Linked DNA regions of Mus musculus. The protein of the gene in region 3 interacts with the protein of the main gene of each other region in a pairwise test. Links are inferred from orthologs where the notes say so. Each region holds a gene or a part of one and is shown on either strand. Other genes may lie near its edges.

What was found.
Region 1: the proteins of Pde6d (region 3) and Hras interact in a two-hybrid assay, tested with the Homo sapiens proteins (2 studies listed by BioGRID). The link is inferred for Mus musculus from reciprocal best matches to the Homo sapiens genes PDE6D and HRAS.
Region 2: the proteins of Pde6d (region 3) and Rnd1 interact in a two-hybrid assay, tested with the Homo sapiens proteins (2 studies listed by BioGRID). The link is inferred for Mus musculus from reciprocal best matches to the Homo sapiens genes PDE6D and RND1.

What each region holds. Positions count from the first base shown.
Region 1 is NC_000073.6:141,191,197-141,195,367, forward strand, and holds the start of Hras (GTPase HRas), read right to left. Parts: upstream 2,809-4,171; 5' UTR 2,644-2,808; intron 2,613-2,643; exon of another isoform or gene 2,307-2,612; intron 1,786-2,306; 5' UTR 1,745-1,785; coding exon 1,634-1,744; intron 1,425-1,633; coding exon 1,246-1,424; intron 1,145-1,245; exon of another isoform or gene 1,095-1,144; coding exon 935-1,094; intron 841-934; coding exon of another isoform or gene 759-840; intron 272-758; coding exon 152-271; 3' UTR 1-151. UniProt on the Homo sapiens protein: Involved in the activation of Ras protein signal transduction. Ras proteins bind GDP/GTP and possess intrinsic GTPase activity.
Region 2 is NC_000081.6:98,674,654-98,678,947, forward strand, and holds the start of Rnd1 (rho-related GTP-binding protein Rho6), read right to left. Parts: upstream 2,809-4,294; 5' UTR 2,697-2,808; coding exon 2,577-2,696; intron 1,922-2,576; coding exon 1,834-1,921; intron 1-1,833. UniProt on the Homo sapiens protein: Lacks intrinsic GTPase activity. Has a low affinity for GDP, and constitutively binds GTP. Controls rearrangements of the actin cytoskeleton. Induces the Rac-dependent neuritic process formation in part by disruption of the cortical actin filaments.
Region 3 is NC_000067.6:86,579,985-86,584,121, forward strand, and holds the start of Pde6d (retinal rod rhodopsin-sensitive cGMP 3',5'-cyclic phosphodiesterase subunit delta), read right to left. Parts: upstream 2,802-4,137; 5' UTR 2,366-2,801; coding exon 2,316-2,365; intron 1-2,315. UniProt on the Homo sapiens protein: Promotes the release of prenylated target proteins from cellular membranes. Modulates the activity of prenylated or palmitoylated Ras family members by regulating their subcellular location.

The sequences.
Region 1 (4,171 bases), on a different chromosome or scaffold from region 3:
GTGCCGGGACGGGCACAAAGGACATGACTGACTGCAGGCGGGGGGGATTGGCAGAATTGGGGGAGCAAGGACATCAGAGTGGATATGAAGTTCATCTGGCTAGCTGAGGTCACTGCCCCAGACGTCTCGCTGGTCCCTGCCTCACCTGGTGTCAGGACAGCACACATTTGCAGCTCATGCAGCCAGGACCACTCTCATCGGGTGGGTTCAGTTTCCGCAATTTATGCTGCCGAATCTCACGGACTAGTGTATAGAAGGCATCCTCCACGCCCTGGGGACAGAGGGACTAGATCAGAGAGGACTCTGGGGAGAAAAGGGGTGCTGTCTGGGTAAGAAACTCCCTGCCTAGATCAGGTCACACCCCAACGCTGGAGGCTCCCTTCCTCAGCTGCAAAACCAACACAAATAGGGAGCTGGGCCCTGGCCATCCAAAAGGCACAGGCCACTCTCCTGAAATAGGGTTCACTCCTGAGTATCACTCAAAGTCAGAGCCACTTAACTCAGGACTCTCCCAGACCCCCAGTACGTCTCAAGTTGAACAGCCTAACAACACTGAAGGGCTTAAAACTAGCCAGTATCCACAGGACACTGGGGACAAGAAGAACTAAGGCCCCTGGGTCGCCGCTCCGGCCTGGCTCAGGGCAGCTCTCTCCAGGGACCCCATCCTGCCCTAGAGCTATGTGAACTCAGAACTGCAGGGCATAAGCCCAGACCCTGGCCCTTGCCTCCCTCACAGCCCTGCGGTCTGGGAGACTTACAGCTTGAGGGCCGCTGGGTCACATGGGTCCCGGGGGAGGGGGGATCCCAGAGGGTCCCGGAGCTGGAGCCAGAGCGGCTGCCCTGTGTTGAGGGAGAGCGGCAATGAGCTCTGCTCCCTGGCTGGGGTGGGGTGCGGTAAATCCTTGACTAGCTGTGGAGAGGGAAACAGGCTCACCTGCCGGGTCTTGGCTGATGTTTCAATGTAGGGGATGCCATAGCTGCGAGCAAGGTCCTGGGCCTGCCGAGACTCAACAGTGCGAGCAGCCAGGTCACACTTGTTGCCCACCAGCACCATTGGCACATCATCTGAATCTTTCACCCGCTTGATCTGCTCCCTGGAGGGGGATGGGGTGGATATGAGCCAGCTAGCAGGCTGCAGGCATGACTGTGTCCAGGACATTCAAAAAAAGACATAAAGCCTCAGTGTGCACACGGAACCTTCCTCACGTGTGCCACGGGCTCACGGGCTAGCCATAGGTGGCTCACCTGTACTGATGGATGTCCTCGAAGGACTTGGTGTTGTTGATGGCAAATACACAGAGGAAGCCCTCCCCTGTGCGCATGTACTGGTCCCGCATGGCACTATACTCTTCTTGACCTGCTGTGTCTAAGATGTCCAGTAGACATGTCTCCCCATCAATGACCACCTGTTTCCGGTAGGAGTCCTGCAAAACAACACGGCTTAGTGGGGGTGGGGGGTGGGGGTGGGGTCTCACCTCTCCTCAGACCAGAGAATCCACAGAACCAGCCTACACCCTTGCACCTCTCATACCCTGATGGATCATACCCCATAACACCTACAAGACCTGGGCTGTTTGGTCATTTACCCATGACCACTGCCACAGCCCACCTCTGGCAGGTAGGCAGAGCTCACCTCTATAGTGGGATCATACTCGTCCACAAAGTGGTTCTGGATCAGCTGGATGGTCAGGGCACTCTTTCCCACGCCTCCAGCGCCCACCACCACAAGCTTGTATTCTGTCATAGCTTCTACAGCGGCTGCCAATCCAGGAGCTCCTGCCCCACCTGCCAATGAGAAGCACACTTAGCCAAGGCCCTTGCCACTTGAGACGGCTAATAGATGCCTGACCCAAGGGCCCTCTCCAGCATTGAGCAGGCAGGCCTGCCAGTGGCCCAGTTGATCACCTGTGGCACCTTCAGCTTGAAAAGGGAGGACCCCACCCCCACCCCCCAACCTCCTCAAACAGCACTTAATGGCTGTGTGAGGAAGCAGGGAGAGGCCCCCAAGGCAGGGCTGACAGCTGAGAGCTTCTCCCAACCACGCACCCAAATTAGAAGTCGCTAGGTAGGCAGAAACCCTCAACTGGAGGCGCCTGAGGGCTGAGGCCACCCCCCAAAAAACAGGTCCTGCCACGGCGGCCTCGGCGTGCCCAGGCAGGCCAATGCCAGCCTACAACCGGCTCTGGCCCGCCGGCATGTGGGTGCAACCTACAACTATTTACTGAGCGCCTACTGCATGCCAGGCGCGGTCCCGGCAGCGGGGGGAGGGTGGCTGGAGAAGGACCCTGCCCTCCACTAAGACAAACCTTCCACAAGGGGCCAGGGAGCTTTCACAGAGGGGGGGAAAAACGGCTGAGGGTGTGGGAAGCAGGTGACTACAGGAACGCGAGGGATGGCTGGGAGCAGAAGGCCCTGGTTGGGGCCCAACGCGGGTGTCCTTGTGGCCCCGAGGCCCGAGCGTGATGGCCGCGGGGCGCAGAGTCTCCGGAGGCCCGGGCGGCGCCTCGCTGGGAGGACGGCCACAGGCAGAGCGAGTCCGGCCGCAGAGGCGGGCAGCCGGACGCTAGGCACGCTGCCGGGCCGAGAGGAGCAAGGAAGCACCGATCACCTGCGCCCCGCGCCCCACCCCGTGCCCGCACTCACCGCTTGCTGGCGCGACTGCCCCCGGGGCCGGGGCCGGGGCCGGGGCAGGGCGGGGGCGCGGACGGGCGCCGGCTGGGCCCGCGCATGAGCTCCGTCCGCGGCGGGTGCGGCTCGGGCTGCGGGCGCCGGGAGCGGACGGCGGGGACTTGGCCGGGCCCGCGCTCGCCCCGCCCCGCTCCGCCCCACGCCCGTCCGTCAACTCGAGGCGGCCCGTGATTGGTCGAACTCCTCCGCACCGCGACCTGTTGTGGTTGGCTGAGCAACCCATCCGTCAGAAGCCGAAGCTGGGCGGGGCTTCCTGGAGCCGCGGGGAAGGCAGTGCCGGAACTTGGGTCCTGCACTCAACAGTGATGTCTAGTGCCTAGGTGCAGAAGAGACAGACCGAGACCGTGCTTACGAGCCCGGGATTTCTCCGGAGAGAAACTGGTGCACGCTCGGGTTGCGTTGAGGACCTACTACAGAGCCTCCACCCTGCAGCCTCACCAAAGGCCCAAAGGCCCACGAGTGGAAAGGTCATCCCGACCGGGTATTGGTGTCGGGGACAGTCAGCACCGCGGACGCGGAATAACAGAGGAAGACAGAGTTCGCCGGAACCCCTAGCTGCCTGTTCTCGTAGGTCGAGGTGGAGCAAAGGCTCCATCCTGGGGCAGCGTCGGCCCATCACACCGCGCTCTTCGTGTTTTGGAGAAGACCCCCCTACCGCTCTCAAACTCGAGGTCCCAACACTGCAGAAGCTCATACTGCGTCCATTTGAAGAACGACCCCGAAAGTCAGAAAAGTTGGTATTGGGGCGAAATGAAGTGTTCCACCCACTCAAGCAAGTAGGGTACATCTGTGTCAGACGCAAATGACATGTTTTCAACACTTTTTGAAATTTCAAAGAAACGAATAAGCACGTCCTCAGAAAAACTCAGGCTTTTACTCAGGTCGTGCAGGCCTGGGGTTGCACGCTCACCCCGGTCGCCGCCCGGGGTGCAAGCTCGGCTTGTTCTATTCATCTAGCAGGCAGATAACCGAGAGCTGGCCAGAAGCCTCTCACGGACGGCTCTCTGAACCACCGTGAGTGCCTTCACTGCGTTCAGCCGTCCGGCTTGTCTCTTACTCTAGGGAGCATTTCCACCGGATCTGCCGCGTGTCCCGGCAACCGTTGCTAGGGGGCGGGGCTCATCTTACCGAAGCCCCGGATGCCCGCGGCTCACGAATATTTGGGTATTCAAATGAGCCCCGCCCCCGTTGCCATGGCGCCAGGCCTGCAACCCCATCGCGGTGGTAAAAATAATAATTAAAAAAAAAAGCCCTCACCTGAGAGAGCGACCGCCGCGGTGGAGGGGCCTAGTGCTGCGCCCCAAGTCTTGGGCACTCTGGCCCACCCCTCAGGTGAGAGCCTAGCACCTCCTCTCCATGTCCTTTGTGCTAGGGGGATCCTGGGCGACCCACGTCTGTGGGACAAGACATACAGGACAGAGTAAGCAATAAGTCATGAAGTGCAGTGGAAGGGGATCACTCTAACTAGAGAAATGTATCTGGG
Region 2 (4,294 bases), on a different chromosome or scaffold from region 3:
GGCCCCCTCCACCCTGGGTAAGGAACAGTAGCAGATTTGGAATCCAGACAATCCGTGCTTAGAATAGCAAGCAGCCCCTCTCCCTGTACTGCAATCACCATGGAAACTGGGGGGGAATCCAAGCTGAGGTGGGGGTGTCGGTCATAAAAAAGAAGAAGTAAGGGGGAGTTGGATAGCTGCCTGCTCCTTCAGCAAGCCACCCCCATCTCTTACTGAGGTGAGGTGGGGGCTGATCTACAGCAGCACTGAGGCAGGGGAGTGCTGCGGTACTGGGGGAGGGGGAGAGGAGCGGGTCTCCATTTTGGCTCCAAGCAATCCCCCTCCCCTAAGGCCAGCAAGTGAATAACAGAAACAGGTTCAACCCCAGACCAAAGGTAGTGAGGCTCTCCACCCTACACAGTCATTTCCTCTGTCCTTACAGGGACCTAGTTTAAAACAAGGCTAACTGATTGCCTTCCAGCCTTTTGAAATGAGGGGGTGGGGTGTGACCTAGGGTAAAAAGACCATCCTGGCTGGTTTTCCTTTATCTGGGTTGGGAGTGAAGGACTGTGGGGGTGGGGGTGGGGGCATCGAGGGTGGTAATGAGGAGAGATGAGCCGCAGCAAGGTTCAGGGAGGATTGGAAGGTGGGAGGATACAGCAGGAGAAAACCCATACATCACGCAGCCACGCTGCATTCTGGTCCGATCCAGCCAGCACAGCACAGTCCAGGATAACCAGAAACCCTGCCTCCCCTTTCCTGGAACTGCAACGGGGGACCGTGGACCCGCCTGAGGAATTTTGGTTGTGGGGAGAGCGAAAGAAATATCTATCGTTTTCTGTTTTCCCATTCCTTATCCCCGGTCTTCCCAGACCTTACAGTTGGAGAAGCAGCACAGGATCCTTCACAGAAGCTGGGTGGCACATCTACCACACATGCAGGAGAACCTTGGTGCTCTCCAGCTTCCCCAGAAACTCGGGCTGAGCACGTAGAAAATATCCTTTTTGGCAAAGCATGGATTTTTCTTTTCTTTCTCACATGGCTGGCACTTACTCTTTAAGGATGTCTGAGACAGACGGTTAAAAAGAGGGGCTGGGGTAGAGAAAGTGGGAAGGGCTCAGAAGCAAAGCTGAGCTCTAAAGGGCTTGGGAGCGGAGAGTAGGGAAAGCATTGCTTTCTACATTTCCAAAAGATAGACAGGGCATCTCCAACTCACCCCAGCCCAGGGAGAAATGATAAGAACTAGACCCCCATGTGCTCAACTGGACACTAACCCAGTGTGGACATGCCCTACATTTACTGCCCCCCCCCCAAAAAAAAGCATCGATGATGCATCGCTTCATCATCGTCTCTAAGCCGCAGCCTCTGAGTTGCGGCAAGCAGACAGCTTCGGCTTGAGATGCAGGAGAGTGATATTCCCTCCAAAGCCGGCGGGGCGGGAGGGTGGCTCTCTGCCCCGCCACAGCTGCCTCCAGCAGCACCCTCCTACCTCATTTAACTTTGCTCTGGAGAACTAGAGAGAGAGGGAGAGAGGAGGGAGAGGAAGGGAGAGGAGAGAGACAGAGACAGAGGAGACGTCTGGTACTCCCGGGGAGTTCTCAGGGCTCCCTTCACCTCACCATCCAGAGGTGAACTAGACCAGAGACCCAAGTGGCACCCAGGCTTGTTCACTGCCTTCCAGGATCCTCTAAAATCATCAAAGCCCCAACCAAAGAATTTTTTACATTCTTTCCTTCGCTTTCCTGGCAAGCACCTATCTTCAAAGGTGGATTCCCAGCCCCCCCCCCCTTAAAAAAGCAGCAACTGCGGCTAGCCAATGGTGGTAGGATGGGGCATTTGGGGGTACACTCTTACCTGAGGTGTCCCAGAGACTAAGCTCCACTCTCTGTTCCTCTGTCTCCAAACAGGCTGTGTAATTCTCAAACACGGTAGGCACATAGGTCTGCGAGGAGACAGGAAACACTCACACCCCGGCAGCAGCATGCCCTCAGAACCCCACACCAAGCGTTGGCTACACATGCGCCGAGAAACACCAAAGTGTCAGATGGCGAGAAGCCAGAGGAGGGGGAGCCATTGGGGACTGTAGAGGTATTGGCCTTCGCTCCCCAGCCTGGGACAAACCCCCTACATCCTAGCTAGTCTGAGACACATACATTCGCATTTTCCTCACATCTCTAAATGTGTGTCCCATTTTTCAGAGCCACAAGCCAGTTTTAACCTCTGTCTTCTGCCCTCTAGTCCTTTGGCACAGGTGAACAGGCAAAACAGCAGAAGCCTGCGCGGGGGGGGGGGGGGGGGTTGGGGAGGGCACCCTCACAGAGCCTTATAGGAGGGGCAGGCAGGTACTGCGTCAAGAATGAAGCCCAAGCTCTCGGGAGCCTCCAGGTCTCAGGGATGAAGGCAAGTGGGAGGGGATATGATGGGTAAAGAGGTGAGGAGGAGCCGACCGGGCGGCAGAAGTGGGTCAGGTCTCTAGGGAAGCAAGACAGGGCAGTCCTCCAGCCAGAAGGCAAGGCAGGGTGGGGCGGCCTGCGGGTGGTGGAGAGCGCTGTCCCGGACAGGTGGGGGATCGACCCCGGGACGGCAGGGAAGCTCACCTCGGGATAGCAGTCTTTCGCTAGCACCTGTAACATCGCCGTCTTCCCACACTGCACGTCTCCCACCAGGACGAGCTTACACCTGACCACCACTGGCTGCGGTGCCCGTCTCTCCTTCATGGCTGCAGCCTCGGAGGGACGTGGACTCGGGTTCAGGGAGGAGGAGGTCGCGCCTCAAGTGTCCGCACTAGCACACTAGCGCGGGTTCCCTGCCTGCCTGCCTCCGACTGAGGCGGAGGCTCGTAAGGCTCCGCTATAAGTCTCAGACTGATCCAATCACAAGAGGAGGCGGACTCTGTCCAGGCCAATCCCTAAGGTGGGATCCCCTGCTGCAGCCAATAGTAGGAGACTCCGAGTCAGCGCCCTCTTCCTCCCTTCCCTTTCTGTTAAAGCTGCACGGTGGCTTCCTCTTGGAAGGGGATTCCCACGCTTTTTGTGTTGCTGTTAGGAGGTCAGGAGGGGACTGGAAGTAAAACTTAGTGATCTCTGAGTGTCTATGAGTTAGTGTCAAGACCCACAAAGAGCTATAGAATCAGGCTGTCTGTCCCAGGAAGACAGCAGGACCTGCCTAAACTATGGACAGGTGGGTGGCATCTCTCGGGGGAGAGGGTGACTCCTTAATTTTATATAGTTCCTATTCACACTGGTTCCACTTCTGGGATCTCCTAATAGAAGTCTCTGCTGCCCCTCTTTTACAGCCCGACTCCCTTCCTCAGGAATCGCCTTCCCCAAAACAAACCAAGAAAACAAAACAAGACAAACAAAAAATAACTTGACCCAGAGATAGGCAAAGAAAACAAAGGAGGGCGTCTTTCAAGTAGGAACAGGAGAGAGAAAGACCAAACAAGCTGCTTTCTGCCAGCCAGGAGCCAGCTCATGCCAGGCCTGGCAAGCAAGAGTGAAGGTGTTTTGTTCTGTGGCCTGGCTTCAGTGTCCGAGATGAATCCAGGGCAGGTCTAGTTCCAGGCTGATAGCCACGGATTCTGACGCACTGATAGTGTCACCTAGTGAGAGTCCAGCCTGGATGCCAGGGCTGGGCCTCAGGGATTAGAAATTGAAAACCAATCATTGTAGACTGAGATAAACTACAAACTGCCGCCGACTGGCCCTAGCCTGCAAGCCTCCACGGCTTCTGCAGACCCCTCTACTAGACAGAGCTATGGAAGTACACAGCTCATATAAGCCACTGGCCACCAAGGAAGTCCCGTGAGGCCTCCAGAGAATTGGGGGAGGGGCAGTTTAGGGCAAACTTGAGAACAACCTAGGGTTCCCCTTACCCTGTTCTGTTGGTTTGGTTTCTTTCTTTCATTTTATTTTATTTTATTTTATTTTTTTTAGAGAACATCACACTGGAACTTGCCGTATATAGCCCATCTTCTTGCCTCAGGCCTCAGGCCTGAAATTCAGACAGAGAACACCAGCCCTGGCTCACGGTTGTCTTGAGGTCCCTTCTCGAACAACCCCAAGCTTTGCTCATAAGCCAGTCATTGCCACCCACCCAAGACCATTTTCCCTGAAATTAATAAGCACCTTTCAAAGGCTTCACAGGCCCTATGGACAGATCTAGTAAGACAGCCAGGCCCACTATAACGGAGAATGGACGTTATCTGGGAAATGTAGTCCAGCCAGTCTCCCTCTAGTCTACTCTTATGGTTCCCAGCTTCTCTGTAGGCTCACAGGCTGGGCAGGGATCCCCTCCATCCATCCACCCATTACTT
Region 3 (4,137 bases):
CGGTCAAGCTTTCCCTGAAAGCCTGTTTCCTGAAGCACTCACATCATTACTTAAGTGGCTGATTCACACACACTCTCTCTTTCTTTTTGGTTTTTGAGACAGGGTTTTTCTGTGTGCCCTGGTTGTCCTGGAACTCGATTTGCAGACCAGGCTGGCCTCAGACTCACAGAGATCCATCTGCCTCTGCTTCCTGAGTGCTGGGACTAAAGGTGTGTGCCACCACATCTAGCTTTATAGTGTTTTCTATATTTGTCCATTAGCCTTTATCTCAACAGGTTCATGTCAAGAGTAAAAGTGACAAAATCCACAGTTTCCTGCTATATTCGTTTATCCCAAGCAGACAGGGAACTACAGAAGAGTCTGTTACTAAACTTCACTATGGAAAGCCACTGAGGGTTTATCCTGAATGTCAGTGTGTAAGGAGATACAGCCTTCTGTGTTTACAAAGCACAGCAGGGCGACTCACTTTCCAATCCCTGCCAGTTGCAGAGAGCTGTTTCTTCACTTCTCAACGCACCCTACTTGCTCACACTCAAAAACAAACCCCACAAAACCTCGGTATAGTTTTTACTTGAAGGGTTTTCCTTTTGCACCCAAAACTTCCTGGGTTGGTTTTTCCCCTTGGGGCCACAGAAACCCATGACCCCGTTTATGCTTCCAGTCTATCCGTTCACCACTGTTCACACAGTGGTACGTGGTTCTTGTGGTGTTGTTTTTGATTCATTCTTTTTTTGGAGTCAGCCTAGATTGGTCTTGAACACATGACAATCTCTTGCTTCAGTCACCAAGTGCTGGGGTTATAACCATGATTTAATCATGCCTTGTATGAATTCTAGAATTTACGTTCACCTTAGTTTCTAACCATAGCCAAGCAATTAGATATTGGAAGATGTGAAACAGGTCTTGAGACAATGCAACAGGTTGTTCAGAGAACCAGTTTAGGGAAGCCTAAACCTCCAGAGGCAGGAGCTGGGTAAATGATGGTTACATCCCACAAAGGGAGGCACTTAGGAATATTCCATATTGTACAGCAGAGATTAAGGTCAACAGAATGTAAAACTGGAATATATTTCATCTGCATTTTATGGTGACAAATAGTCCATCAAAACACACAGCTTCTAGCTGAAGGTGCTGGCCACACCCTGAGTTCTAACAGTTCCAGCACTCAGGAGGCAGAGACAGGTAGACAGCCTGGTCTACACATCAAGTTCTGGGTCAGCCAGAGCTACACTGTATGACCCTGTCTCCAAAATAAAACAAACGCTTCGAAGTTTTCTCTCTCTATATAAAGAGGTTGCAAAAGTCACAGTGTAGCTACAACAGGCCTGAAGCAATGGTTTCTTTTCCTCCTCTGGCTTCTCACTTTCTTCCTTTTTGAAGCAGGGTCTCCTATAACTAAGGCTGGTCTTGAACTCTATGAAACTCTGAGGATGACCTGAATTCTGGATCCCCCTGCTTCCATCTCCCAAGTACTGGGATCACAGGCATTCAACACCAAGTCCACCGAAACAACGAATTCTGATATCATATGGTGTCCTCAACACAATCAAGTAATTGTGAACAGCTTCACCATAATAAAGCGTTAACCTCAGCAATGCCAAAGATAATTTTGCCGGGAGTCGGTTCAAAACCAAAGTACCTCATGCATCTCACACACCTCCTATTTCTCATCTCGCTGGAAAGAGAACTTGAGATGTTAATGCTCCAAAGGCCAACAAAGTGTTAAGATGGGGTCCGTCTTTAATTTCTCTTTCCCCACCTCTCCACTACTCCAGCCCTATAAGAAGCCACAAGTGAGGAAGAAAAGTTGTGAAAACAAGACGGATGTGTGTGTGGTGGGGTGGGATGGGGTACATTATCCCCCACATACAAGGTCACTTGCTTGGAGTCACTTTCTCCTGCTCCCACCCTGGGCTTCCCGCCAAAGTCGCTCCTAGGCAGGCTAGGAGGCCAGCTTGCTGCACTCCCTCAGCCTCTGCGTGGGGACTGCAGCCCCCTTCTGGCCTCCCGGCCTTCAGGACCCTAATTTCAAATGGGAACTCTTCTCGCAGTAGCCAGGTCCCGGGGCTCCTCCACCTCCATCCTCCCCCCCGCCCCCCCCCCCCCCCAGGCTCCATCAACGTCCCCTTTCTCCCTCAGGGTGCCCCTGTGCCTGCCTCCCGTTCGCGGTCCCTCCCGGGGGCCCGGCACACAGTTCCTTTCCTGCCCCTTCTCGTAGCCCTTCTTCCCCGGTGCCCACCTGACGCCCCTGCCAAAGCCTGGCTCCTTAGAGCCACGGCCTCCTCCCAGCCCCGCCCCTGCTCCCGGGCGGATACAGTTTGAAGCCTCTCAGGATATCCCTGGCCCGCTCGTCCTTGGCTGACATGATGCGGCGCCTGCCGCCCGCGGCCCTCCCACGCTGGCTCCGCGGGGCCTCGCAGACGGTACCCAGGAACCGAGGACAGCCGCAGCCCGGCCGGACACCTCAGGTGAACAGCGGTGGCGGCCAGACCCGAACCGGCCTCTCCCTCCCCTCAGCTCCCGCTCCTGATCCCTTCTCCTTCCCTCTAGTCGTGGAGCTCCCGCCTTGAAACCAATGACAAGCCAGCCTTGGCGATTGGCATCTTGAGTAGCCAATAGCAACGCTCAGCGGCTTCGCTCGGGGACGGAGAGCGTCAGTGGGAAAGGCCCTCTTGGAGAGTCCCGGAGGACAGAATTTTCTTTCGTGTTGTTGCCTAGAGTTTGTCCCAGAGGAGCGATGGCTTGAAATCTTCAGAGGCGTTTGAGATGCCTGCTCTTGTTGCCGGGCACACTAGTGGTCTGAGACTATGGCAGGCTGCACTGTACAAGGTGGCAGAAACTACATTTCCCAGCATCCCAGAGAGCACAGGCGATCCCAGCGCACCATTAGAGGCCAGGGACTACAAGTCCCAGCATACTATGCGCTCCATCTTTTTAACTTGGGTTCCAGTGTGCCGAGCAGTGTGCACATATTTGAAATCCTCCTATGGGGTTGGTTTCTGAATCCTGTTACTTGAAACCCAGCAGGAAGGTCTTCTTTTACCCCGGAGACGTGACAACCCACCGACAGTTAACTTCTGTTTACATGGAACTCAGGAGTCTGCAAACCATGGTAAGACTGCAAACCACCAACAAAACCACATATTAAGCCACGAGAGATAACAGAACAAAATGACCTCCTCAAATAGTGTTAGTTTATTAGTCTGGAGTTCATTTTTACTTGTTTTGCAGGGTTTATGTTATATTTCTGCTTTGGACTGGGTGAGCTAAAGATTGTTTATACTCAATGTTAGTACAGGAAGACTTAAAAGATTTTGCCAATCCAATCTCTTTATCTTTTGTTTTTAAATATGAGGAAATAGAGACCCGGTGAGGCAGAGACTGGCCAGAGAGCACAGCAAATTGACACAGTTAAAATCTGGCTTTACATCTACTGACCTGTCATCTAGTATCTACACTACACTAGGGAGGTAATATTTTTAGAAGCATGGCAATGTGATTGTTTTTCTCCTTAATGAACAGTTTCTGAACTAGTGTTGAAACACCCAGAAAATAGGAAAGCATTTATTTCATGGATTTCCTGAAAGGAGCTGGTGTGACAGTCCTTTATCCTCAGACTAGATAGGTCTTGCTATTTTTATTTGCTTTTTTGACATTCAAGTTGACATTTAATGATTGTTTTTCCCCCAGAAAGTAGATAAAGTTGGTTTAACCCTCTGTTTCCTTGGAGACGCCTGTGTCCTTCCTCTGGCCTTCTTTCCTGTTCTTGTTCCCACTCCACCCATTTGATCACCCACCCATTTTGTTTGTTTTTCTTCCAAGTAACTCAACAAACCTTGTTTTGGTTTTTGGTTTTGGTTGGGTACTGAATTAAGTAAAAGATAGGCCACTGTTATTCAGAAGATACATAACTGATTAGGGAGATAAGGAGATTCAAGATGGAGTTGACAAGTGGCATAAAAGAAAAGATATCAGAATGCCACAGAGGATTACTTGTTGGCCTTTTAGTCAAGATCAAGTGGAGAATGCCTTAGAGGTTCTGGTGACGTGCCTTTAACAGCTGGCAAAACTTCATGGTGGAAATGACATTTGAACTTAAAGCAGTGGTTCTCAAACTGTGGGTCAAAAATCCCTTTG